Linked DNA regions of Ovis aries. The protein of the gene in region 1 purifies or fractionates together with the protein of each later gene. This does not show direct contact. Links are inferred from orthologs where the notes say so. Each region holds a gene or a part of one and is shown in the gene's direction. Other genes may lie near its edges. The genes, in order: NFKB1, AURKA, COPB2, NFKBIE, LRPPRC, RPS3 and SPAG9.

Region 1 (3,500 bases):
ACTACAAGCAGTTACCCAGCTGCTTACTCTGATGAGCATTTTCAGAGTAAGCAGCTGTATAACTGGAAACTTACCTCCTATTTAAAGAACTATGGCTTTAAAAAAAGAAAATTGTCCTTTGAGGCCAAATGCTCTGAGATAAAAAGTCAGAAAAAATGAGATCAGATTTTAAGATAAAGGTGTATGTCTTTGTCCCCAAAATGTTTACACTTTCTCTGCAGATTCTGGTATCAGCTTTCTTTTAACCAATTCTATCCAAGTAATTATGCATTTCTAGATTCCTGGGTGTGCATACTATGAGTAAACACAATCTAAGTACCTTTATTTGTAAATGTGACTCTAAGTCATCATCATTACATTGAAATGGCTAATTAAGAGAAGTTTTATACCCAGCTTAAAGAATCTGAATAACTAGGTCCAGGGTGGTCCTATGAATGTCTTACCCAACCCTAATATTTCTAAAATTCTATTTAAATAGAAATATACATTTAGTTTTTACAAGTCAATAATGTATATGCCTCCCTGTGAATGAGGACGTGAAGCCAGGGAGATGCCAACCTGAGTTATATTGTCATATTTCTGCAGGAGTAGAATCCATGACTGAAGTGTGAAATTAAGACATTCTAATTTAACCCAAAGGGTCTAGACCAACACATAATTTAGCAGTTTCTCAACAGGGACTACTAGAATATTGTAGAGAGGTAGCATAGTAGGATGTTTAAGAGCCTGGGGTCTGAACCTTCAGTGTCCGTGTTCAAATCCTGGTCTCTCCCCTTACTAACTGTTCAGCCTTAGATAAGTTACTTAATCTCTTTGAACTCCAGTTTCTCTTCTGCAGAATGAGGATATTAATAGTACATTTGCATCACAGAGTTGAAGATGAAATCAGTTAATATATGCATATAAAATCACTTAGAACAGTGTCTGCCAAATAGTAAACTTTATATAAGTTAAATATTATGTAAATCTGCATCAAGGTGAACCGTCTTTTGGGATTCTGATATTCTTCACTATCTTTCATGTTCCTGGGGAGTGAATTGGTTTAGGGTTGGAGAAGTGGGAACGTCGAAGATTGATTAAGAGAAAACTCAGATTGAATAGGTAAATCTAGAATTCTGTCCTTGTAAATGAAACTTGGGGCCCATTACTATGGTGACAAAAAAATTTTACTCAAAATTTTAAATAAATTCAGAAGTCTATTTTATATGAATTACTTTCAAAAAAAGGTTAAGTACATAGTAGGTAGACTCTAGAACCAGCTTTATTTTTCATCACATTTACGAATGCTATTATAATGTGTGAAATTATACACCTGAACGTGACTGTTTACAGATGACATCCAGATTCGATTTTATGAAGAGGAGGAAAATGGTGGAATTTGGGAAGGATTTGGAGATTTTTCCCCCACAGATGTTCATAGACAAGTAAGTGGATGATGATGGTACGGAAGATGATACTATGTTTTCTGCTTTGTTGAAATTCAGTACTTGGATCCCAAGAATAAAAAAGGAAAAATGATAAGTATTTCTTTAACTTTCATCAAAGAGCACTATGTCTTGGAGTTGTTCCAGAAAAGCTACCTAGAATTATGGGTAAAGCTCTGTCAGGATCTGATCGCCTAGATGCAAGGCTGTGACCCTCAAATCCTTAAGTAGACATGTGTTATGTATTTCACCGGTCTGTTCAGACTAATAACAAAATATCATAGACTGAGTGAATAAAACAAAAGCAGTTTTTGCTTATGGTTCTGGAGCCCATAAGTCCCAGATCAAGGTCTGACAGGGTTGGCTCCTGATGAGGGCTCTCTCCTGAGTTGGCAGACAGCCACCTTCCTGTTATGTCCTAACATGGCAGAGAGAGAAGAAGCTCTCTGGTGTCGTGTCTTTTTATTTTTCTCTTTTTTTGCTGCTTCTCCTTTTAAGACCACTAATCCTATCCAATCAGGACCTTACCTTTGTGACATCTTTTAACCTTACTTATTTCCATAAAGGCCCTGTCTCCAAATACAGCCACACTGTTGGGGCTTCACCATATGACTTTGGAGGAAACACAGTTAGTCTGTAATGGTATTCTCCCAGAGTAACCTGAGGAGACTTGTTAAAAGGGTATTCTAATGAAAAGTGTTGACAGGAGGAGTCTTCTAGTTGAGGCTGATATCATCATGATAAATTAAGATCTCCCAGGAACATTTGAGTATATGACAAAGAGATGAAAATGCTGAATCCTCAGCTTAACAATTACTCTGAGTGATTGAGGAATACAGTTTTCACACACACACAAAATGGAAAAAATCCAAGTGCCCATCAGCTAGTGACCAGTTAAGTCAATGTGAGGGGATATTGTACAGTTATTAAGAAAGCATGAATACTCTACAGACTAACGGAAAGGTCTCAAAGATACAACACTGAAATTTTTTAAAAGATAGATATGAAACAAAGTGTATATAAAAAAAGATTCTGTGTTCATGTTTACATAGCATAAAGAAACTCTGGGAGGTTCTGTGCGTAACTGTTAGATTAAACGTTAATTTTGTGGATGAAATACAACTAAATCTGACTATTCTTATACTAGCAGATATCAAGGAGGCTGTCTTAGAGGTGTTACAGATGCCCTGTGTGTGTCTAGAGCCTCGACCATCCCCACCTCACAGTTGCTGACCCAGTCACAGTGTCTCCCTTAAGGGTTTAGTTTTTCGCTGTGGTTGTTGGCTGGCCATCCTCCTCTCTCTCCTTCCATTATGTCTTTATGATATTGCTGTAAATAATCTTGGAGGCTTTTAAGGCTAATTTGGAAAAGAGGATGTATGCAATATATTTTATTCACATGGTTATTTACACTGAAAGACATTTGAAACTTTAGACAAGTGAACTAATGAGGATTTGCAGTACATTGGCATAATCTTATATTTCAATTTCACATTGGCAATATAATAAAAATATATGGGTACAGAATTCCAAGGTTGTAACTTTCTCTAGGGTGTTGTATTTTTTTTTAAGACACTGTGTCTAAGCACTGGGCATAAAGAATGTGTTTAATGAGTACCACTGCTTTAAAAGAAATGTAGTCCTACTCCAACATTTGTATCTTTGTATCCTGCAGTTTGCCATTGTCTTCAAAACTCCAAAGTATAAAGATGTCAACATTACAAAACCAGCCTCTGTGTTCGTGCAGCTTCGGAGGAAATCTGATTTGGAAACTAGCGAACCAAAACCTTTCCTCTACTATCCTGAAATCAAAGGTAACTCGGTTATTTAAACACTTGCACTTGTTCCAACAAGAGGACAGGCTGTTGAGAAAAGGTCAGGCAGTCACCTCCTTTGACCAGCCTCCTAGTAACTGGTCCTTGGGTCCATGGTACTTCTTTTTAGAGAAGAAAGAAGTAATATATGATTTTAGGGTCATAGAATTAAGTCTAGCCTTTTAAAATAATGTTATTCCCACCGAGTTTTATATGAGGTTGAGCATTTAAAATTTCGCTTTGAATTTGAGAATCTATCATT
Region 2 (3,500 bases), on another chromosome or scaffold:
CTCCATCCTATTTGCTTTCCCAGAGTGGTTCTCCACCGCAGAGAGGGGTGGCGTCTCCACGTCGAGAGGAGGCCATTTGAAAGAAGTTCCCAGTTGTTTCTGGAACCTTCTTGCTTCTCCAGTTCCTCATCCAATCCTCCTGTGGTCTTAGCATTGTTGCTAATAGGTCTGTGCTCAGAGCATAGTACTGTCTCAGAACACTTCCCAGCAAGTGCCTCAGCTCCAGAAGTCCAGATTTTTCCCTGTCACAGACTCATTCAGAGGAGGCTATGGTTTGGTTCTTGCCGAGGATACGTGCTGATACCACTTTGAGTATAGAATTATTGATAGGACTGGGGTGTCTGCTACTCATTAATATACCTCATTAGAAAGGATGTGTTTTCTTCAGACTTTAAAATGTTCAATTCTTCCCCAGAAGGCAATGGGCTTTGGAAGATTTTGAAATTGGTCGCCCGCTGGGTAAAGGAAAGTTTGGTAATGTTTATTTGGCAAGAGAAAAACAAAGCAAGTTTATTCTGGCTCTTAAAGTATTATTCAAAGCTCAGCTGGAGAAGGCCGGCGTTGAGCATCAGCTGAGAAGAGAAGTAGAAATACAGTCGCATCTCAGGTAAGTCTTCAAATGGTGTCCGGGAGAGTGGCGTACAGAGCTTAGACTTCAATGTTTATGAACTTCTTTGTAGAAGGCTGGCTTCATAGTACTGCAAAGAATGACTAAATTCATCATTTTTTCAAAGATTTATCTAGACTTAACTGCTGTGGATTGGAAAAATTGCTTGAAGGTTTGTCTTGTTAATGGAGTAATTTACTGGATGAGTTTTGTTTTGTTTTGGTGGATAATTAAAGGAATGATACCTCTTATTTTGAGTTCAGGTTGCACACTGGTAGCCTATAGGTTGACTTTAGCCAGTGGATCTTTTTGTTTTCAGTGAATTTAAAAAAATCTCAGCTAGCCTGTGCTCAGCTGTCCAAAGTCCTCCACAGCACATTTGCTGCCGTTATTGAACATGGCCTGTGTTGTCTGTCTCATGGAATTTGAGTTTCAAACTACTGTGGGAATGGCACGTCTTTTTTTTTTTTTCTTTCAATTTGCGGAGACTTAATATTTAGCTGAATTCTTTCCCCCTAAGAATATAGATGGTTCAAAGGAAGGAAATAGTCTTAACTAAACCTGAGGTCCAGGTTTAATACCTTGGAATGCATGTAAATTGATAGCAGTGTACATATTTTTCTTACAGTGGGTTCATAGCTTCATATTTTCAAGGGCAGTGGAAGGTGGAATCTGTGACCAGCAGCAGTTCTCACCACTGGTTTCACATGAGGGATCTGATACTCAGTACAGATGCCCCACCATACCAGGTGTCCATCTTTCATTGCAGGCATCCAAACATCCTCAGACTATATGGTTATTTCCATGATGCTACCAGAGTCTACTTAATTTTGGAATATGCACCCCTCGGAGCTGTCTATAGAGAACTTCAGAAACTGTCAAAGTTTGATGAGCAGAGAACTGCCACGGTGAGTTTTCATTTACTGTTCAGACTAATTCTGTTTACTCTATACCTGTCCTACACAGTGCTGTACCTTTCATTATATAATAGAGGGGGTTTCGTTTCATGGAAAGCTAGCTTAGTACAGGGGTCCCTCACCTCTGGGATCTAATGCCTGATTATCTGGGGTCAGGCTGATGTAATAATAATAGAAATGAAGCACACAATAAATGTAATGCACTTGAGTCATCCCGAAACCATCTGCCCTACCCCAGGTCTGTGGAAAAATTATCTCCCACAAAATTGGTCCTTGGTACCAACACTGGCTTCAGCTCGGTTCAGTTCAGTCGCTCAGTCATGTCCGATTCTTTGCGACCCCATGAATCGCGGCATGACAGGCCTCCCTGTCCATCACCAACTCCCAGAGTTCACCCAAACCCACGTCCGAGTCGGTGATGCCATCCAGCCATCTCATCCTCGGTCGTCCCCTTCTCCTCCTGCCCCCAATCCCTCCTAGCATCAGAGTCTTTTCCAATGAGTCAACTCTTCGCATGAGGTGGCCAGATTACTGGAGTTTCAGCTTTAGCATCATTCCTTCCAATGAACACCCAGGACTGATCTCTTTCAGAATGGACTGGTTGGATCTCCTTTCAGTCCAAGGGACTCTCAAGAGTCTTCTCCAACACCACAGTTCAAAAGCATCAATTCTTCAGCACTCAGCTTTCTTCACAGTCCAACTCTCACATCCATACATGACTACTGGAAAACTATAACCTTGACTAGTTGGACCTTTGTTGGCAAAGTAATGTCTCTGCTTTAGAGTATGCTATCTAGGTTGGTCATAACTTTCCTTCCAAGGAGTAAGCGTCTTTTAATTTCATGGCTGCAGTCACCATCTGCAGTGATTTTGGAGCCAAAAAAATAAAGTCTGACACTGTTTCTACTGTTTCCCCATCTATTTGTCATGAAGTGATGGGACCAGATACCATGATCTTCGTTTTCTGAATGTTGAGCTTTAAGCCAACTTTTTCACTCTCCTCTTTCACTTTCATAAAGAGGCTTTTAGTTCCTCTTCACTTTCTGCCATAAACGTGGTGTCATCTGCATATCTGAGGTTATTGATATTTCTCCCGGCAATCTTGATTCCAGCTTGTGTTTCTTCCAGCCCAGTGTTTCTCATGATGTACTCTGCATAGAAGTTAAATAAGCAGGGTGACAATACGCAGCTTTGACGTACTCCTTTTCCTATTTGGAACCAGTCTGTTGTTCCATGTCCAGTTCTAACTGTTGCTTTCTGACCTGCATATAGGTTTCTCAAGAAGCAGGTCAGGTGGTCTGGTATTCCCATCTCTTTCAGAATTCTCCACAGTTTATTGTGATCTGCACAGTCAAAGGCTTTGGCATAGTCAATAAAGCAGAAATAGATGTTTTTCTGGAACTCTCTTTCTTTTTCCATGATCCAGCAGATGTTGGCAATTTGATCTCTGGTTCCTCTGCCTTCTCTAAAACCAGCTTGAACATCAGGAAGTTCATGGTTCATGTATTGCTAAAGCCTTGCTTGGAGAATTTTGAGCATTACTTTACTAGCATGTGAGATGAGTGCAATTGTGCGGTAGTTGAGCATTCTTTGGCATTGCCTTTCTTTGGGATTGAAATGAAAACTGACCTTTTCCAGTCCTGTGGCCACTGCTGAGTTTTCCAAATTTGCTGGCATGTTGAGTGCAGCACTTTCACAGCATCATCTTTTCAGGATTTGAAATAGCTCAACTGGAATTCCATCACCTCCACTAGCTTTGTTCGTAGTGATGCTTTCTTAAGGCTCACTTGACTTCACATTCCAGGATGTCTGGCTCTAGGTGAGTGATCACACCATCGTGATTATCTTGGTCGTGAAGATCTTTTCTGTACAGTTCTTCTGTGTATCCTTGCCACCTCTTCTTAATATCTTCTGCTTCTGTTAGGTCCATACCATTTCTGTCCTTTATCGAGCCCATCTTTGCATGAAATGTTCTC
Region 3 (4,027 bases), on another chromosome or scaffold:
GTGATTTTGCCCAAATTGAATGATCTGTTTACAACAAAAATTAAGGGGGATCAGGATGCCAGTTACTAGTTACTAACTAGTAACTAGATTTGCATTTAAAGCATTAAAATGTCATATATTTTCAAAAGTGTAGCAGTTAGTACATATCAGATCTTTTCATTAGTTGACCATTATGGAATAAAATGCAGAAGTGTTCATTAATTTTGCCTTACAGACTTTCTGAACCTCACAGTTAATCATAAAAACTTTGAATGTATATGTATTTTATAACATATGTATGCATACATTTATATACCTGTGAGAAAAGGTCTGCGCTTCCCTGGTGGCTCAGTAGTAAAAGAATCTGCTTGCCAATGCTGGAGACATGGGTTAGATCCCCGGGTTGGGAAGATCCCCTGGAGAAGGAAATGGCAACCCACTCCAGTATTTTTGCCTGGTAAATCCCATGGCCAGAGGAACCTGGTGGGCTTCAGCCCATGGGGTTGCAAAAGAGTTGGACACGACTGAGCAACTTACAAGAATAGGTCCACTATTTGCTTTTTGGCTGCGCCAGTCTGTCGCTGAGCAGGGGCTTTCTCCAGCTGCAGCAAGCAAGGGCCTCTATAGGTGTGGGGCACTAGCTTCTCACTGTGATGGCTTCTCTCACTGGGGAGCAGGGACTCGAGAGCATGGGGGCTTCCATAGTTGTGGCACATGGGCTCAGCTGCCCTGCAACGTCTCCCCCCTGCATTGGCAGGCAGATTCTTAACCATTGGACCACCAGGGAAGTCTGGTCTATTTCTTATCAATCATTCAAAAACCCAGAAAATTCTGAAGCGAGTATTTGGTGGCATAATCAGACCTAAACTCTTAAGTTATTAGTTGTTCTTATGTTTTTATGCCACTTGGTGTGTTTTTATTGTATTTAGTAGTCACATGTTTTTTGCAGAATATTAACGTTTGTGACTTTGGTGCTGAGGATGTTATGCAATGTATGGCATATTACTTTGTAAAATCCAAGTATTACCTTTTTAAAATCAAAAAAATTCTTAATTCTAAAACACATTATCCACTTTATCGAACTTACACAGGAAAAAAATGGAAATAAAATGGACATTTGGATATTTTCCTACTGGGCACCACTGCATTGTCCAGCACTGTTCATCTTAGAGATGCTGCCCTCAATAATATACTTGTGAAACAGAGTTTCTCCTTTGTATCTCCTGAAGCCCTTAAATGTGTTCGTATCAGCTACCTTGTCTTAAAAAGCCCCTTTAGAGTCTGCCTAGGACAGTTAAGGAGATTGAAAATGGTCACAAAAGCTGTCTTATTTCTCACACTGCTGGAGTCTATTTTGTAGCTCACTGGTGATAAGTTAATGGCTCAGTGACAGAAAAGAGGTATACATGTGGGAGCTGGAGAGGGAATGCTGACTTTGCAGCACTAAATTCACATTTCTCTAATGTGCTAAGTGCCATCATTACAGCATTTATTTGTGGTAACAGTGCCTGTCTTTAATCTGTAGGCTTGATGCTTGCCTGGAGCTTTTGATTAGAACTGGACGACTGCCAGAAGCTGCCTTCCTGGCACGGACTTACCTACCCAGTCAGGTTTCAAGGTACAGACTTTTCATTTTGGGAGGAAATACTTCAGATAAAAACAGAGTCCTTACCAATCTCCCTCTGGTTCCATATCTGTAACAGGGTGGTGAAACTCTGGAGAGAAAACCTCTCAAAAGTCAATCAGAAAGCAGCAGAATCCCTTGCTGATCCAACAGAATATGAAAACCTTTTCCCTGGATTAAAGGAAGCCTTTGTTGTAGAAGAATGGGTGAAGGAAACGCATGCCGACCTCTGGCCAGCCAAACAATACCCTCTTGTCACGGTGAGTGCCTGGGGCGCCTAATTTTGTGTAACTACAAGTAGAAGGGCATTCACAACTTAAGGTTTTAAACTGTACCATCACTTCATGGGAAATAGATGGGGAAACAGTGGAAACAGTGTCAGACTTTATTTTTTTAGGCTCTAAAATCACTGCAGATGGTGACTGCAGCCATGAAATTAAAAGACCCTTACTCCTTGGAAGAAAAGTTATGACCAACCTAGATAGCATATTCAAAAGCAGAGACATTACTTTACTGACTAAGGTCCGTCTAGTCAAGGCTATGGTTTTTCCTGTGGTCATGTATGGATGTGATGGTTGGACTGTGAAGAAGGCTGAGCACCAAAGAATTGATGCTTTTGACCTGTGGTGTTGGAGAAGACTCTTGAGAGTCCCTTGGACTGCGAGGAGATCCAACCAGTCCATTCTGAAGGAGATCAACACTGGGATTCCTAAACTCCAGTACTTTGGCCACCTCATGCGAAGAGTTGACTCATTGGAAAAGACTCTGACACTGGGAGGAATTGGGGGCAGGAGGAGGAGGGGATGACAGAGGATGAGATGGCTGGATGGACATGAGTTTGAGTGAACTCCAGGAGTTGGTGATGGACAGGGAGGCCTGGCTTGCTGCGATTCATGGGGTTGCAAAGAGTCGGACACGACTGAGTGACTGAACTGAACATACGTTTTGGTTTAATTGAGAGCTAGTATTTGGGATTTGGGCTAAGTTCATAGATGAATTATACTTTCAGAATATTTCATTTCATCATTGCTTCATTCCCTGATAGCCAAATGAAGAAAGAAATGTTATGGAAGAGGCAAAAGGCTTTCAGCCCTCAAGATCTGCAGCTCAGCAGGTCAGTGGACTACTACACAAGATAGTCTGGTTGAGATTTGTTGATTTTAAGTACCATCTCCCACTTCCTAATCCCGATTAGTTTTCCCTTTGGGAAAAACTTCAAATTCCTGAACAAATTCCTTTGTTTTGTGGATTTTCAGGAACTTGACGGGAAACCTGCTTCTCCTACTCCTGTTATCGTGACCTCCCAGACAGCCAACAAAGAAGAAAAGGTATTGACATACCCAGCTTCCCAGTGGACGCCAGCCTCACCCTCTCGCCACGTGAACGTGTGCTAGCTGTGCAGGCCTGTTTTAAGTGATGTAATCAGTTTCAGAGCAGGAGCTTTGAAATGGAAAGATACACTTTTCTGACTGTTGGTTTAGTTCTCTTTGGATCATGAGTCACAGGTAACTTTTCTTTAACACAGTACTATAGAACTCACCCTCTTCCTTTTGTTTGCAGAGTTTACTTGAGCTGGAAGTAGATTTGGATAATTTGGAATTAGACGATATTGACACAACAGATATCAACCTGGATGAAGATATTTTGGACGACTAAATAATGTTTCCTGTTTACTTAGCTAAACAGATCATTATTATGGACAGGTACTGATCGTCACCCTGACCACCATGCTTTGGACTCTGAGAAACTCCTTACATTTTTTATATATAGACGTTGTTGCCCACTAGGAGCACAATCCCCTCATCTTCGGAGGAGTTTATGTGCAGCATCTAAATCACTGTTCCCTTATTAACTAAAACAGCTGTGGGCTTTGATTTTTTTCATACTGTCATTGGACCATATCTCATAAAATCCTTTGAATTAATGAAGATACTTCAGAGTTTCCTTTCTGCAGAATGAAAACAGGATTCGAGTTTGGCTGAGCCAAAACTACACCTTTTCTAGGTATCAGCCCATGTTCTCTTCTCTTTGAATAACTATTTTCAAATAGCATCACTCATATTTTTCTTAGAATTGAGTATCTGTGCTATAATTTTCTAAACTTTCCCTTGACCTCACTGCATTATTCCCCTCATTCTATGTAGCTTTCTTATGCCTTCCTCTGACTTTGTCTGGTAGTACCTATTTCTAGAGTCAGCTCCCCTGACCTCATTAAGCTGGGCTGTTTAAATTACCAACTGACCCATTTGGTAACACAGAGACATAGTACTTTTTTTTCTTTCTTTTTATGCTGTACTCATCTGACATGATTAGAGAAATTCATAACCAGGCATTTAAATATACTTCTTGGTTATCCTCTCATAGCCTCGGAAAGTGAGTGGAGTAAACAGTTTTTTCTTTGTATTTCTGATAGAGGCACTATTT
Region 4 (4,242 bases), on another chromosome or scaffold:
GCCTTCAGGGGGGGATGGAGACCAGTGGGTCACCTCCTCCCAACTGTCCTCCCCTCTCCTTTCTCCCTCCACTCACCCCCTTCCCAGAAACTAGGTACTTCTTCCCAGCCCTCTTCCCTTCTCATTTCCAGTTCAAATGGAACCTCCTCTACCGCTCACCCCATTGGGTAGTTGGCCCCATGTTGTGCCCCTCCAGCGTCCTGTTCTCACGCCTATCTTAGCCCAATCACTCTGAGTTGTAACTGCTAGGGGGTTTTGAAGGCTGGAACCATGGGACAGTTTTTTTTATGTTTGTTTGTTTGGGGGGGGATGGTAGTTGTTGGTTATTACTGTTACTGTGAGCCTCCGTTTTGCTTCCAACAGAGAGAACAATGTCAGGCATATAGAAGAAGCTCCTTACATGTCTATCAAATGGATGAATAAAATGAGGTTTCATGGGGAGGGTGGGAGGGAAACTGGTTAGTAGCTGCGTGTTCACACCCTAGCTTCCTTCCTTCAAAGCCAGAGTTGGGAAAGGGAGATGTTTTCTTGGGGGGGATTTTTCTAAGAGCATTTCTGGAACTTGGGGTAGGGGATAAATCTTGGGCAGCTGATTTGGGGCTCACCACGTGGGTGGGATTTGCCTACAGCCTCCTGAGGCTAGGCCCAGGGAAAATAGGGATGGGGAAAGGGGAAAGATGTGCTGGTATTAGGGCTGAGGCTGCCAAGGGGACCTCAGCAGAGTGCTGCCCAGAATGTCTGGGGCCTCCCCATCCTGGCCCCACCATGAGGAACTACACTTCCCCAACCAGATGCTGTTACTGTCTGAGACCAGTATTTTATCCCTGTGAGGAATGACCACTCTGCTTTTTTAGACCACAGGCTTTTCAACAGAAAAACCACTTGCGAAGAGCACATCCTCATGTCCAATTCTATGTGATCTGAAAAACTGGCACAGGAGACTCTGTCTCCAGAACCCAAAGGGAGAACTCCTTTAAAGACATGGGTGTCCCCTTTGGCTCCGGGAAAAGCAACAGAAATTGAGAGTAGTGGGCCGGGGACAGGTAGCAACGCTTCCCCGTCCCACCTCCCACGTGCCCTCCCCAGAAGACGCCCAGCTTGTGCAGACGATTAACATATATTCCTCTTAAACGAAAGAATAAATGAATGGGAAAATGAATGAAGAAAACAGAGGAAGTGAAGGAAGGAAAGAAAGAATGCAGGGAATTCATACATGGAATGAAGGGAGGGGGAAAGAGTGAATGAATGGACGGTTGGATGAATGAATGAACGGGTGAGTTAACGCAAGAGTGAGTCAGGACCGGGGAACCCCTGACTCCGAGCCAAAGCAGAGGGCGGGGTAAGGGGGATTCCGAAGGGCGGGGCGTCCGTCCGGAAGCGCGGCGCCTGCCGGGGGCGGGGCCTGAGGGCGGGGCGAGCGAGCGCGTCTGACTGCGCTGCCCAGTTGCCCCGAGTAGCGGCTGCCGCGGACCCCGCCGGCGCTCGGAACCTCGTCCACGCTTCTCGCCGAGCCGCTCAGCCCAACCCGCAGCCCGGAAAGGAGGCCATTTCGGGTCCAGCACCCGCTCTGTGAGGCGGACCTGCAACCCGGAAAGGCGGCGAGGAGTCGGATCCTCCTGGGACCGGGCCCGGCGGGCCGGCGCCGCGGGGATGTCGGAGGCGCGGAAGGGGCAGGACGACACCGATGAGAGCCAGTATGACTCGGGCATCGAGTCTCTGCGCTCCCTGCGCTCCCTGCCCGAGTCCACCCCGCGCCCAGCCTCGGGGCCCTCAGAGGGCGGGGGCCCCCAGCCCTGGACTCATCCTCCGGGAACCGCCAAGGAGCCAGAGGACAAGGAAGACACGGACGGGGAGCGGGCTGACTCCACCTACGGCTCCTCATCGCTCACCGAGCCCCTGTCCTTGTCGGGGGACCCCAGGACCGAGGGCGCAGTTCCAGACTCCCCGCTCCGCGCCGCCGGGGCGCTGAGCCCTCAGCAGCTGGAAGCACTCACGTACATTTCCGAGGACGGAGACACGTGAGTATGGGGGCTAGGCTAAGAGAGGACCCCTTCCTCCGCCCCGATGCTAACTCGGGGCCTTCTCCAAGAGCCGTAACAGGCCGGGCATTCCCTATGTGGGGATCCCTAAAGGCACCAGCTCTGGAAGGGGCGGTCCCCACTCTCTCTTTCAAACTGAACTCTCAACCCACTTTTGAGCTGTATCCAGACCCAGTCCAGAGGACCTGGCATCGTCTGTCTGCCCCACCTTTTGGCAGGGCCCTCACCAGCACCTGGAACCCCAGCTAGCATCTTGGAAATCTACCAGTAACCCATCCTGGGGAAGAGAAAATTCCCCTGACCAGCCCAGTTTTGTTTTGTTTTGTTTTTCTCGCTGGAGGACAGAGCATCCTTGTTTGCTTAATATCTGGGATTCCCGGCCTCTGACCTCAGAATGCCCTGTCTCAAAGAACAAGAGGGGCCAGTGACAGGCTGCCGGTGGGCCCAGGAAGCTGGGGTCTGAGGTGCTGCCAGGGGTGCATGGCTGAGGCTGGCCTGTGGAGTCAGTGAGCCAGGCTGGGGCACTCTTGCCCCAGCAGACAGATAGGCGGCTGGCTACCCCAGCTAACTTCCTCCTCTGTTGAGAAAGGGGAAGTGAGGGCTAGAGTCAGCCTTACCGACACTCTCCACCTCCTGAGCCCTGCAAATCCCCCTCACTGTCATATGTGACCCCTTCACTTCATCCTTCCTCCCCAGGCCCAGGTGGAGCTTGGTGGAGACTGGGCTGGGGCGGGGCCGGGGGGAGGGGTGGTCAGAGAGGCAGTTGTGTGGTAGGGGCTGGCCAGGTGAGGATTCACCCCTCAGGAAGAAAAGATGGATGAGAGAGGGGGTGGCTGGGATTTGGGGATGGGAAACAGAGTGGAGGGGGGCTGGGGTCCTGGATCTGGGCTGCTGGAATGAATGGGGAGGAGGAAGCAGGAGCTGTCTGTCTTGATCTGCTTTTTTGGAGATGCAAAGGTCCTGGGTGGCCTCTGACAGAGACAGACTCTGGACCCACTGGGTGACCCTAGGCCTTTTTGTCCTCTGTACCTAGAGATCACCAGCCCTCAGGCCTACAACCAAGATTGTGCAGGCCCTGTGCAGAGTACCTGTGGTTGACCTTTGACCCAGGGAGTGGAGGCTTCTGCCCTGCCCCCCTTGCTTAGCCTCTCAGCCCCAGCTTTAATCGCCTCTAGTTAGAGACAGGTGTGGAATCTAGACCCGGTGGGGGCGGGAGGGAGGTGTCAAGACCCCCCAGAGGGTTCCCTGAGAGGAGAGGGCGCTTTCTTCCCTCCGGAGGTGTCTGGGCTGTGGACATGTGGAAATGGGAAGAGGAAGTGGGAGGAGGGAGACTGAGGGAGAGAGGGAGGTGGCTGCAGGAATGTGACCAGAGAGCAGGCCCTGGCCGAGGGGATTTCCAGCGCGGTTCCTCCCTCCCTCCCTCCGTCACTCTCTCCTGGGCCTCGCCAGCCACCAAAGCCTGCCCCCCCTGCCCCAAGCAGCCCCCTCCCCAACCCAGACGGGCCTTTCAGCCAGGCTTCCCCCTGACGAATGCCCCAGCAGCTGCCTGCCCCGGCCTAGACCCTCTGGCTCTGGCTTTCATTTTCCCCACCTGACGTGGGGAAACCCCAGGGCTGGAACTTCCCCTCCTGTCCGCCCCAGGTTAAGGCTCTTTATCCCCCACCCCAGGCACACATTTTCTGCACTGCACAGTCCTCCCCGCAGAGGCACACACAGGAGCGGGGGCCCAGCTCAGGCTCCGTCCCAGCCCTGCAGAATGGCCTCTGGCTGTCCCGTGGAGAGCAGCAGGACAGAGCGCTGCCCTGTCTCCTTGCTCCTTTTCCAAGAGCTTCTGTCTCCTCTCTTTTGGGAGGTGTTCATGAGGGGACAGAGGGTGACCCCACCCCTGCCCTCTCTGCCCTCCCCATGAAGGGGGCAGAGGTGGGGAGCCCAGCCCTGGAAACCACCTCTGTGCTACCCCAGCGGCTTTCAGTTTGGCTTTGAGCTGCAGCTGCCTGGTGGGGGCCCCAGGGGGCCAGAGGGGAGCGGGGTGTGGGCAGGGTGGACAGGAAGGACCTTGTCCCGTCAGCACCCTGCCCACATTCTCACTCAGCCAAGGCCCTCCCAAAGGCCAGAGATGGGAACTTGGAGCTTCCACCCTCAGGATCCTGGCTTCCCGCAGCAACCCTCACTTCCTGGCCCAAACTCTCACTTCCTGCACCTA
Region 5 (3,500 bases), on another chromosome or scaffold:
TACAACATACCCGTTCTAGACTGCATGCATGCCCAGTTGCACAGTCATGTCTGACTCTTTGCGACCCCATGATGGACTGCCAGGCTTCTCTCTCCATGGAGTTTTCCAGGCAAGAATACTGGAGTGGGTTACCATTCCTCCTCCAGGGGATCTTCCCAGCCCAGGGATCAAACCTGTGTCTCTTGCATCTTCTGTGTTGCATATAGGTTCTTTACCACTGCACCACCTGGAAGCCCTAGCTACAGAATTCTTTTTCTTTCAGGGTGTGTTCAAGTGAATTTAAAAACAAATTGTGACTCAAATAAAAAAAGGTAGAAAACACAGTCCTACGAGGAAACACTGGAGAATCCTTTTGAAGAGTGAAGAATCCTTCGGTTTAAATATGTAACCCTTCTCCCCAGTTTATTTTATAGCAGAATCATATTTTGACTTAATAAAGCTAAACACACTTACACGTGAAAGAGATTTGACAGCATTAAAGATTTGTGAGAAAAAAAATAGCTTTAGAACGTTCAAAAAAAAAAGAACGAACGTTCAGTCTACTGTGCTGGTTTATTAACATCTCTGTTTTCTCCCTGAACTTTGTTTGTTCGATGTTACATGTTAAAACTGCATTTTGAGGAGAGGTTTTATTTTTATGCTCCTCCACAGTTTATCAGATTTGGCTTGTATTAAAAAAACATCGACAAATACTGCACTTCACTATGGTTTTTAAAAACTTTATTTTTATTTATTTGGCTGTTCCAGGTCTTGGTTGCAGCACTCTGGGTCTTTAGTTGTGACATGTGGGGTCTAGTTCCCTGACCAGGGATCAAACCCAGGCCCCCTGCCTTGGGAGCACGGAATGTTTGCCACTGGACCACCAGGGAAAGCCCCAATTTTTAAAAGATTTATTTTTATTTATTTGGCTACTTGGGGCACACAGACAGGGTCTTCGATCTTAGTTGCAGCATGTGGGATCTAGTTCCCTTGACCAGGGAGCGAACCCAGGTTCCCTGCTTTGGGAACAGAGTCTTAGCCACTGAGCCAGCAAGGAAGTCCCTTCACTATGATTTTGAAATCTCTCTTATTTAGCTTTCATTGGTGAGCAGTATTTTACACTCATCTGAACCTGACACATTGTTCTGAGTGATTTAAAATATTTTGTGTTTGCCTAACTTGGGGATAGGTTATTAATAACTGATCTCCTAGAAGGGGTAAATACATGTAGCAATATGTAGCAGTGTATCTTCTATGGTTCATAGGTAAAAACCTAGTATTCATTTCATTTAACTAGCTTTAATCAATTAGCCATCTACAAGTGCTGATCATTAGATTTCCTAATTAAGCAAGATGACATTGTTTTTAGTTAGTATTCTGATATTTTCCGTTGTTTTCCAGTCTGCTGTTTTACATCAGGTGGAATCATTGATGGCCAGAGTGGTTGTGTTTTGTCCCGGGTCCTGGTGGTAGAATTTCTAGTTGGATATTGATTACTGCCTCTGTGTTTTGCTTAAACTTGTGAAACTACTGGTGTTACTTTCTTTAATGTAACATTATGTAACATTAAGTTTTGTGATTTGTTTTTCAGGTTAGTAGCATAAGAAGTCAACAATTTTATTTTTAAACTCATGAGCATGTATTTACTTTGGTAATTGACTGTTCAGTTCAGATGCTCAGTCGTGTCTGACTCTTTGCAACCCCATGGACTGGAGCATGCCAGGCTTCCCTGTCCATCACCCACTCCCAGAGCTTCCTCAAACTCGTGTCCATTGAGTTGGTGATGCCATCCAACCGTCTCATCCTCTAATTGACTGTGGTTAAAAAAAAAAAAAAGTAACATGTTAAAAAAACGTGATTGTCATCGTAAGGGCTTTCTTGAATTAATAAGTAGAGTGTTTTTACATTATTACTTAGTTAATATATACTTAGTGTGTATTCTTTAGTTATACTTACTGGCTACTTCTGAAAATTTGGGGGTAAATGTGTAAATCTGCAAATTAGATGATTTTATGTGAGATTGGAATGTATAGGAAGTTCAGGTTTAAAGATATATGACAGGGCTTCCTTCACACGTAAGGATTATTTCCGTTTCATGTTTGTAAATCAGGTACAGCCTGTATTTCTACAGTGTGAAATACCTCTGATTTCATGTTTTGGCCTGCATGTTAGACCTGCTTTATTAAATGGTTTAAGGGTTGTTTGCTTTTTGTAAATACGTATGCTAGTCTGACCTTTATTAACTTTTTTTTTTTACTTAAATGTTTCAGATTTATTTAGAAAGATGGGGAATACTTTTATCATTAATGATCCTTTAAAAAACTGCATATTTGGAAATGGGTCTTATTAATAGTTCAATATCTACACCTAGAAAATGTTCAAAGAGTGCTTTAGAATTCTTCACAATTTTAGGTATATTTTAGATCTCTTGTTCATTTGTAGAGGTTAGAAAAGCTTTGTAGCATAATCTTCATTTTTCTTCATTAACTTGGTTTTGGATAAGGGAGATTTAAAAACATACCATATTATTGTCTTAGTTTGAGATGATTCCATGTGGGAGGTTATCGAGAGACATTGTGAGACAGTTATTCAAGAGGTTATTTTGCATACAATTTATGTGCTTGTGATTTTATTTAAAGCAAAGGTCAAAACTTTCTTCCCTACCAATTTATACTTCTGGACATTTTTGCTATTACGCTATGAATTTAGGTATTCAGTAACTAATAAAAAAGCTTTGTATAAATTTTACTCACAAAGATGACCTATGTGGATAGTAGTTGACATAGTTTATTACTAATTGTGTTTCATTTTGTAGAGGTCTACTGAGCCAAGCTAGGCTACATTCCATTGCTGCTGAAAAAAAGAATTATCTTCAGGAGGAGCCCACCTCTTCTCATAGGAGGAATGCCAGCCAATTTGATTGGGCTTTAATGAGGCTAGATAATTCTGTCCGAAGAACTGGCCGCATCCCTAAGACTCTTCTACAAAAAGTCTTTGATAACACCTGTCATTCAGGTATTTCAAAATTTTCTATTCAAAAAGTTGAACTTAAATTCTGGTTTGATGGTAAGCTCATTACGGAGCACATTGTTTGGTACTTTAAATTTTGTCATTTCTATTTGTGATTTTATGTTATGGTTGTGGTTTTTTTTTTTTTTTTTTTCCAATTCAACAGAGCAAAGTTTTGAGTGAAGCATTTTGTTTTGCATGTTTATTTCAAAATCAGCAAATAAAAATTGTCTTTCCCCACAGTTTATAAAAGAATCACTTTCAGTGGTAAATTTTCTTGGAAGATACTAGTTTTTATCTTCTCTTGCATAGTGTCTGCTTTCCCTAAGATGGTCATGTATGAAAATTTCCAGAAAGACTGAAGACTGATAATCATTATTTCACTTTCATTTTCACTTAGCTGTTAACATTCAAGTCACTTATGCAACTTTGATAATCTGATAGAAACTTATAGGCCCTCAAGTCCCCTCCCCCCAACCCCCCCAAAAAAACCGGACCACACAGGCTCACAC
Region 6 (4,275 bases), on another chromosome or scaffold:
CGTCACAAGGAAACTTTTTCTCTTTTTTCAATTTATTTTTGTATCTATATAAGATGATGGATGTTAACTGAATCTCTTGTGGTAATCATTTCATGATATGTGAATCAAGCCATTATGTTGTATGCCTTAAACTTATACATTGATGTATGTCAATTATTTCTCAGTAAAACTGGAAAAAAAAAAAAAAAAAAACTGTTGGGAAAATTTAAGGCGTGAAGTGTCCTGATGCCTGAAAGTAACTTTGAAATGTATCAAAAGATGCACTGTTGGGTGGATAGAGGCAAGGATAAATATCTGATAAAGCAAATACAGAAAAAAATGTTAATTGCAGCACCTAAGGGATGCATATATAGGTGTACACTGTATAGTTCTTCCAACTTTTCTGTATGTTTGAAATTTTTTGTAATAAAATCTGCGAGGGGAGATTTTTTTTAATTGAAAAAGAATTGCGAGCCATTATCGTAACTTCTGTTACAAGCTGTAACATACTTTATGAACGTGAGGTAGAGGTAATGAATTAATAATATAAAGTCCTAAAACAGTCCTTAGAATATTTAATACATATTATATATATATTATCAGTTTGCAACAGAGGAAGTGGACACAAATTGGAAGAGATAGGTGCCTCAGTGAATTTCTCTGAGGGCTTTCAGCCCAAAAGTGCTTTTACTTTTTTTCATTAAAGAATAAAGTTAGCAGATAAGTGTGTGTTTATACTTGGTTTTAAACTGATGAGAACTGGGCTCTAATTAAACTGATGAGAACTGGACTCTAAACTTCCCTGAATTTTTAAAGCTCTGATTGAGATATTGGCTCCTCTGTCTATGGGATTCTCCAGGCAAGAAAACTGGAGTGGGTTGCCATGCCCTCCTCCAGTGGATCTTCCTGACCTGGAGATCGACCCCTCATCCCTATGATCGACCCCTCACCACTCTCTCTCCTCCATTTGCAGGCGGGTTCTTTACCGCTAGTGCCACCTGGAAAGCCCAGGTTTCTGGATATTGTTGTTGTTCAGTCGCTCAGTTGTGTCCAACTCTTTGCGACCCCATGGGCTGCAGCACGCCGGGTTTCCCTGTCCATCGCCATCTCCCGGAGCTTGCTCAAACTCATGTCCATTGAGTCGGTGATGCCATCCAACTGTCTCATCCTTTGTGTCCTGCCCTTCTCCTCCTGACTTTAGTCTTTCTGAAGGCAGTATCAGGGTCTTTTCCAATGAGTCAGCTCTTTGCATCAGATGGCCAAAGTATTGGAGCTTCAGCTTCAGCATCAGTCCTTCCAATGAATACTGAGGATTGATTTCCTTTCTTCCCCAACACCTCACAGTTCAAAAGCATCAACCCTTGGACCGCGCTTTTCTCTTTCCTTTTACCAAAGTGAAAACTACACTTCCCATGAGCGCTCACAGGCGTCGACGTCGCGCAGTTCTTTGTCGTCGCACAGCGCCCTTTATACGCACTTCCGCCCGCTTGCCACTTCCTTTCCTTTCGGCGGCTCGCGTCGGCAAGATGGCCGTGCAAATTTCCAAAAAGAGGAAGGTGAGATCCCGGGGCCCGGTTGCAGGGAAGTGGCGTTTCGCGGGTCAGGAGCCTTTCTGGGTGCTATTGCGAGACTTATAGCTCTTCGCTATGCCCGGGGCAGCGGCCGGACTGTGTCGCTTTCCCGTGGGCTGCGGATGGCGGTGGATTGAGCGCAGGCCCGTGGCTGCTGAGAACGGTATGGCTGGGATAGGAGAGAAGGATTTCTGCCGGTTCCGGGCGGAGAGCAGAGATGAGCACTGAGGGCTCCTCCTGCCGTGGAGGAGCGCTTGTGAGCCTTTCTTAGTCAGTAGTTAGTAAAGTTACTAAATGTGATGTTTTGAATGCATGAGCCTTTCCCTCATCGAATGGTAGCTTTGAGAAAGGGAGGTAGCAGTGTTCGCTTGCCTTCTTCCTAGGCTTGTCTGGGTGCAGGCTTCTGACCCCAAGGACCTCAGTTTGGAAGGTTACTGACAATTTCTTGTTCTATCTTGGGGTCAAGGAAACGTTCTGGGGAAATAGAGGGAAGGGACCTGGGGGAAACGGTTTGATTATTTAAAACCCTTCAATGAAGAGGAGATGACGAGTCTGACTGGAGGTGTTCTCTTTGTCCAGGTGACCCCTACCCTGTGCCGCGTTCTGTGGCACAGTTTTAAGGGCCTGGGTCAAAGTTAACTTCCAAAAGATGACTTAGAGGCATTTGTCTGAGAAGGGTTGCTATGTTTTCTCTGGAACAAGGCAAAATAATTAATGATGGGTCGTTGGTTGGAGGTGTTGAATCTTGATTAGGGTTGCATTGACTGGGCTAGAAACCTGAGCCCATGTCCAGATCCTCATTTTCATTTTGCTTTTGGTTAGTTTGTCGCTGATGGCATCTTCAAAGCTGAACTGAACGAGTTTCTCACTCGGGAGCTGGCCGAAGATGGGTACTCTGGAGTTGAGGTCCGAGTTACACCAACCAGGACAGAGATCATCATCTTGGCCACCAGGTGAAAAATTCATTTTTCTGGCCATCACCTGTAATTGTTGTCTGCACTAAGGTGATTTCTTCTGTAAACGTAGCAGAACAACAGTTGAGTCATCGTGAATGAGTTTTTAAGCTGCATTTAAAAAAAAGATAATCTCTTAGTTCTTGTCATCCAAAATTTATGCTTTCTTGTGTCAGATGAATTAGATTTTTACTACCACACGTGTGCAAGGTTTAAAATTACATCTGTAATGTTATGAGAGCTGTGAATTGTCACTCTTCATTTTCCCCAGGACACAGAATGTACTTGGTGAGAAGGGCCGGCGGATCCGGGAATTGACTGCTGTGGTTCAGAAGAGATTCGGCTTCCCTGAAGGCAGTGTAGAGGTGAGTGATCCTGGCTTGTGCCAGAGGCTACTCTGGAGCTAGAAATGGCTCTTCAGGATGGTGCTGTGCTGTGCTTTGTCGCTCAGTCGTGTCCAACTCTTTGTGACCCCCATGGCCCCAAGGCTTCTCTGTCCATGGGGAGTCTTCCAGGCAAGAATTCTGGAGCTGGTTGCCATGCCCTCCTCCAGGGGATCTTCCCAACCAAGCGATTGAACCCAGGTCTCCCCACATTGCAGGCGGATTCTTTACCATCTGAGCCACCAGGGAAGCCCTCTTTAGGATGGTACTTCTGAAAACTCATATTATCACCCTGAAAGCTTACTTGTGATCAGTGAGTATTACAAATGGATTGGTATTTTGTTGAAGGTCTTTTAATAAGCAGTTGGCAGCAGTTTATACCTATCTTGGAATTAGTAATGATACATAGGAGAGGTTGGCTGCCCATTGATCTCCATGATTTGGCTGTGGAAAGAGGTGGGGGTGGGAGAAAAATGAGGAATGGTTCAGTTCAGTCTGCGTCCCTGAGTGTTTGTTAGATGTGGGCATTAGAAGTGCTTTAATACTTGGGTAGTACAGTGAAGGGCTTCCCAGGTGGCTTACTGGTAAGGAATCTGCGTGCCAATGTAGGAGACGCGGGTTCAGTCCCTGAGTCAGGAAGATCTGGAGGAGGGCATGGTAACCTTCACCAGTATTCTTGCCTGGAGAAGAAGAGGACCCTGGTGGGCTGTAGCCAATGGGGTTGCACACTCATCCACTAAATGAGAACAAATAGAGTGATACATAGAGGGGTGTCTGCTTGAATCATGAATGTGCTGATTTTTAGTTGAAAACGGTGGTGATGAGTGTAACAAGTTTAAGAATGTGCCTTGTTTTCTTTAAAGCTTTATGCTGAAAAGGTAGCCACAAGAGGACTGTGTGCCATTGCCCAGGCAGAGTCTCTGCGTTACAAGCTCCTAGGAGGCCTTGCTGTGCGGAGGTAAGAGTCCTTATGAATTGTGTCCTTTCGTGAATCAGTATATCAGCTATTTTGTTAATTTAGTAAGTGGACTCTGGACAGGCTCAGCTAGTCTCTGAGGGCTTTAACAATAAGACATTGTCAATCCATGTTGCAGCCTAGTTAGAAAGACTAGTAAAGACAAGTGTTTAAAAAAGCGAGTGGTGTTAGTAGAGCACGGTGGGAGTATGAATGTAGGATGGGGGTGGGGAATGGTTTGGGTTCATGTTGAAGTCATTCACATACATTGTGTGGTGGTAACTCTGGGGATTCAAGAGAGAAGACTCATTGCTGAGAAGAGAGCTTAAAATCTAGTCAGGTATGCCCAGTAGGTATTTATAGATAGTGATGTGAGGAACAGAGGACATGAGGTGGTTAGATTGGCCCCGGAGCTGGGCTTGCTGATAAGATTT
Region 7 (3,500 bases), on another chromosome or scaffold:
GAATTTGATAGCCCAGTTATGCTTTTTTTTTAAACTAACTGTCCTCTGACAGTCCAAAGAAATAAAGTTTGGGGATAGAATAAAAGCATGTTTCAGTTTATTTATTTTAGAACATTGTTTATAATTAACCCTCCTGTGATGTCTGTGTGTGTGTGTGTGTGTGTGTGTGTGTGTGTGTGTGTGTGTGTGTAGGTATGTATGTGTAGTTTTAAAACAAACCATCTCTCCTCCTTCTATCCGCACAGAAGAAACTCATAAAATTCAAGATAACTATAAGAGAGAATTAACTTTAGTCTGGATATTAACTGCTATATTTCGTTACTGTGTCTTATTTCCCTTTTCTGTGCCTTGAACCTCCTAGTATGTCAGTGTTACTTCTGGTACAATTGCTGCAATATATATATTTATATACCTTTCACTCCTTTCTATTCTCCCTCCCGTCCGCCTCCCATTGCCTTGCCTTGCCTAGCTGCCTGTCTGCCTGCCTGCCTTCCCTCCACCCTCCCTCCCTCCCTTTCTCACTGTCTCTGAAATGTTTAATATAATCATCTAACTTTGGCTTTACTGGAATTTATTTTTTTAACAGTACACTAAAATGTAAAAATTATCAATTCCTGAAAACTGTAGCTAAACACAATAAGATTTTTTTTTCCTTTTTTCCCACAGTAATGACTCAGATGCATATAAAGATCAAATATCAGTATTGCCAAATGAACAAGACCTGGTGAGAGAGGAAGCCCAGAAGATGAGTAGCCTTTTACCAACTATGTGGCTTGGAGCTCAAAATGGGTGGTAGGTATCAAATCTTTTTAATATTAGAAATCTTAAGTCTTTCAATTTTGCTTTAGAAATCTTAAGATAATTAAAATGTGCTACGTACAAATACAAACAAAAAGTGCCTATTAAAGTGAAGAATTTTATATACACACAATTTTGAAGTTATATTGCAACTACCTCATAACTTGGACTTGGACTTGCATTGGTTCTGAGTGGTGAACCGTATGTTTGTCATAGGATGTTTCCTTCATATAATATTCTTGGGAAAAAAGTTAAGTAAACTTAAAAATCTGGGTGATCTAAAAATAAGAGATCCTGTTGTTCAGGAAATAAAAGGGATTAAAAAAATCTCGGGCTGCAGAAAGGCCTAATTTTAAACATAACTTCTGGGAAAACAAGGACAAATCACAGTCTAAAAGCTTAGGAGTTGATAAACACTATAGGACTTTTCCACTTTGTAGTAGTGTGAAGAGTCTTACAAACTTGTGCTTTTCCTAAGGTTAAACGAAATCACTAGTGGATCTTTCCCATAAAGGACTAATACTACAAAATGAAGGTTTGACGTACGTTTCTCTATGAAGGGTCAGACAAGAAATATATCAGGTTTTGTTGCCTTATGATCTTTGTAGCAACTTATTAACTATGCTGTTGAGGTGCAAAAGCAGCCACTGCATTGACAATACCTAAGTGAACTGGTGTGGATATGTTCTAATAATAATAAAACTTATGAACACTGAATTTCATATAAGTCTTGTATGTCATGAAATACTCTCCTTTTGGTTTTTTTTTTTCCCAACCATTTAAAAAATATAAAGACCATTTTTAGCTTGAGACTGTACTAAGACAGGTAGATGGCTGGATTTGGCCTATGGGCCTTAGTTTGCCGCTCCCTGATGTAAACCGCTCTATTATCAGAAATTTATAGCTCAGTAAGAAGACTATTTTTTTAAAAGATTGATAGCCAAGGATTCTGAAGTATGTGGTAATCTGAAACCAACCATGCGTTAGTTCTGGCTTTTCCTTCTTTTTATGTTTCTGTTTGCTTAAGCAGCTTATTTCTCTGCCTTAGGCCTATCCTTTCCTTGTTTTGTCCTGAAATTTTTATGTTACTCTTCTTTTCTTTTGAAGAAACTTTGTGTCATTATTAGATATAAGCAACTACTTGATGTGTTCTCTATGCCTTACCAGTCTTGATTTTGTTCTTGCAGTTTGTATGTCCATTCATCTGTAGCCCAGTGGAGGAAATGTCTCCATTCTATTAAACTTAAAGATTCGATTCTCAGTATTGTGTAAGTTTTATTTTAGAAATTCTTCCTTTGAAAAATATGTATTTTGGTATAAACTAGATTCTAAGACTATTAAAGTTAACATGTACTTCATGACTAAATCAGTATCCATGTCTTTTTTAACCCTCTTTATGAATGAGATTAAAACTAGAAAATAAACCAAGTAATTTTAAGTAGAAGAGAAAGCTTTCTAGGTTGATTCCTCACTGTTCTGAGAGTTCTTTAGCCTGTTGGTGAGAAAACCAATTAAAACCCGTGATATTTGTTTCAGAATATTCTTTACACTTTGTGAATATGCTGATTGGGTGATTGATTTACCAGTCCTTTTCTGTATGTTGACTGTGAAAAGTCAGTTTGTCTCTTAGATCCACAGAGCTGACTCTTTCTACTCAAGGTGTGTGCCTCTGGTCTGTGGACCTTTTGTCTGCAATGAGAGGAGGTTAGAAAGTGAAACAGCTGAGTCACCACACATGCTTCCTATTGAGTCCAGCTGACATTTTCATAACGAGACTTTTCTCAATGAAGAAAAGAATCTGTTCCTTTAGATTCTCCTGTAAGCTCCTCACATCACAGATTGGTCTTCTGAGAACCTCTGAACTAGTTCAGCAGCGTGTGGTGTCTTCTGCACTCCCAAATGGAGAGTTCTAAGACCCCCTTTCCTGTTTGCAGACATGTGAAAGGAATTGTGTTGGTGGCCCTGGCTGACGGCACCCTTGCAATCTTTCACAGAGGAGTTGGTGAGTTTCATGAATATGTAACATGTGTGCTGATTCGTTGCTTTGCAAGAGCATGTTCAAACATATTGACCTCATATGTTTTAAAGAAATGATATTTCATAGAAGAAAGAATAAAGATTTAAACTGAATACTAACCATGTATGAAATGAGTAAATATGTGAGTGCCTGACTGGAGGCATACATTAATCATACACCTCAGTGAAAATTTGTTTACCATACTGAGCAAATAGTCCTTATGGTCCTCTTAAATAATGTGCAATGGAAGTATTTATTTGTTTTATTTGTTTTCTAATCATAGGCCTAATTTAGTGAGAGTACATGGTTTCTTTTGTCCAGTATTTTAAAAGTAATTTGCATTCACTTACATTTGGAATGTTCTTGAAAAGAATTTTTAATTAGCTAAAGTTTAATCATTTTCTTGTCATGTTTTTTATATTCTTCCCCTTTAAAGTAGTGTTTCTACCATCTGCAGACAGAAGGTGTCAGAAAACTGCGCTGAGTGAATTTAAGAAATTGAGTATATAATTCCTTGGTACATGTATAGTCCAAAAGTGATATTTCCTTCCTACTAGATTGGTAGATCAGGGAAATATAAAAATATAGATCCGATATGAGACTTTGGAAAAGCCTTGCAAAAATTAATTTTTTATTTTATTAATTAATTTTTGCAAGGCTTTTCCAAAGTCTCATATCTTTTTGC

The links.
Region 2: the proteins of NFKB1 (region 1) and AURKA purify together in Homo sapiens (affinity purification with mass spectrometry; 4 studies listed by BioGRID and IntAct, counting the BioPlex papers as one, with this or other methods). This does not show direct contact. The link is inferred for Ovis aries from reciprocal best matches to the Homo sapiens genes NFKB1 and AURKA.
Region 3: the proteins of NFKB1 (region 1) and COPB2 purify together in Homo sapiens (affinity purification with mass spectrometry; 5 studies listed by BioGRID and IntAct, with this or other methods). This does not show direct contact. The link is inferred for Ovis aries from reciprocal best matches to the Homo sapiens genes NFKB1 and COPB2.
Region 4: the proteins of NFKB1 (region 1) and NFKBIE purify together in Homo sapiens (affinity purification with mass spectrometry; 4 studies listed by BioGRID and IntAct, with this or other methods). This does not show direct contact. The link is inferred for Ovis aries from reciprocal best matches to the Homo sapiens genes NFKB1 and NFKBIE.
Region 5: the proteins of NFKB1 (region 1) and LRPPRC purify together in Homo sapiens (affinity purification with mass spectrometry; 3 studies listed by BioGRID and IntAct, with this or other methods). This does not show direct contact. The link is inferred for Ovis aries from reciprocal best matches to the Homo sapiens genes NFKB1 and LRPPRC.
Region 6: the proteins of NFKB1 (region 1) and RPS3 purify together in Homo sapiens (affinity purification with western blotting; 3 studies listed by BioGRID and IntAct, with this or other methods). This does not show direct contact. The link is inferred for Ovis aries from reciprocal best matches to the Homo sapiens genes NFKB1 and RPS3.
Region 7: the proteins of NFKB1 (region 1) and SPAG9 purify together in Homo sapiens (affinity purification with mass spectrometry; 5 studies listed by BioGRID and IntAct, with this or other methods). This does not show direct contact. The link is inferred for Ovis aries from reciprocal best matches to the Homo sapiens genes NFKB1 and SPAG9.

The regions. Positions count from the first base shown.
Region 1 is NC_056059.1:22,569,264-22,572,763, reverse strand, and holds part of NFKB1 (nuclear factor NF-kappa-B p105 subunit), read left to right. Parts: intron 1-1,332; coding exon 1,333-1,424; intron 1,425-3,099; coding exon 3,100-3,238; intron 3,239-3,500.
Region 2 is NC_056066.1:59,216,890-59,220,389, forward strand, and holds part of AURKA (aurora kinase A), read left to right. Parts: intron 1-415; coding exon 416-607; intron 608-1,376; coding exon 1,377-1,515; intron 1,516-3,500. UniProt on the Homo sapiens protein: Mitotic serine/threonine kinase that contributes to the regulation of cell cycle progression.
Region 3 is NC_056054.1:250,348,577-250,352,603, forward strand, and holds the end of COPB2 (coatomer subunit beta'), read left to right. Parts: intron 1-1,504; coding exon 1,505-1,597; intron 1,598-1,682; coding exon 1,683-1,863; intron 1,864-2,648; coding exon 2,649-2,717; intron 2,718-2,859; coding exon 2,860-2,931; intron 2,932-3,163; coding exon 3,164-3,259; 3' UTR 3,260-3,527; downstream 3,528-4,027. UniProt on the Homo sapiens protein: The coatomer is a cytosolic protein complex that binds to dilysine motifs and reversibly associates with Golgi non-clathrin-coated vesicles, which further mediate biosynthetic protein transport from the ER, via the Golgi up to the trans Golgi network.
Region 4 is NC_056073.1:17,751,117-17,755,358, reverse strand, and holds the start of NFKBIE (NF-kappa-B inhibitor epsilon), read left to right. Parts: upstream 1-1,442; 5' UTR 1,443-1,650; coding exon 1,651-2,018; intron 2,019-4,242. UniProt on the Homo sapiens protein: Sequesters NF-kappa-B transcription factor complexes in the cytoplasm, thereby inhibiting their activity. Sequestered complexes include NFKB1-RELA (p50-p65) and NFKB1-REL (p50-c-Rel) complexes.
Region 5 is NC_056056.1:80,311,731-80,315,230, forward strand, and holds part of LRPPRC (leucine-rich PPR motif-containing protein, mitochondrial), read left to right. Parts: intron 1-2,794; coding exon 2,795-2,994; intron 2,995-3,500. UniProt on the Homo sapiens protein: May play a role in RNA metabolism in both nuclei and mitochondria. In the nucleus binds to HNRPA1-associated poly(A) mRNAs and is part of nmRNP complexes at late stages of mRNA maturation which are possibly associated with nuclear mRNA export.
Region 6 is NC_056068.1:53,317,402-53,321,676, forward strand, and holds the start of RPS3 (small ribosomal subunit protein uS3), read left to right. Parts: upstream 1-1,475; 5' UTR 1,476-1,505; coding exon 1,506-1,535; intron 1,536-2,077; exon of another isoform or gene 2,078-2,227; intron 2,228-2,372; coding exon 2,373-2,503; intron 2,504-2,774; coding exon 2,775-2,868; intron 2,869-3,749; coding exon 3,750-3,844; intron 3,845-4,275. UniProt on the Homo sapiens protein: Component of the small ribosomal subunit. The ribosome is a large ribonucleoprotein complex responsible for the synthesis of proteins in the cell. Has endonuclease activity and plays a role in repair of damaged DNA.
Region 7 is NC_056064.1:35,517,937-35,521,436, forward strand, and holds part of SPAG9 (C-Jun-amino-terminal kinase-interacting protein 4), read left to right. Parts: intron 1-666; coding exon 667-792; intron 793-1,985; coding exon 1,986-2,066; intron 2,067-2,732; coding exon 2,733-2,800; intron 2,801-3,500. UniProt on the Homo sapiens protein: The JNK-interacting protein (JIP) group of scaffold proteins selectively mediates JNK signaling by aggregating specific components of the MAPK cascade to form a functional JNK signaling module.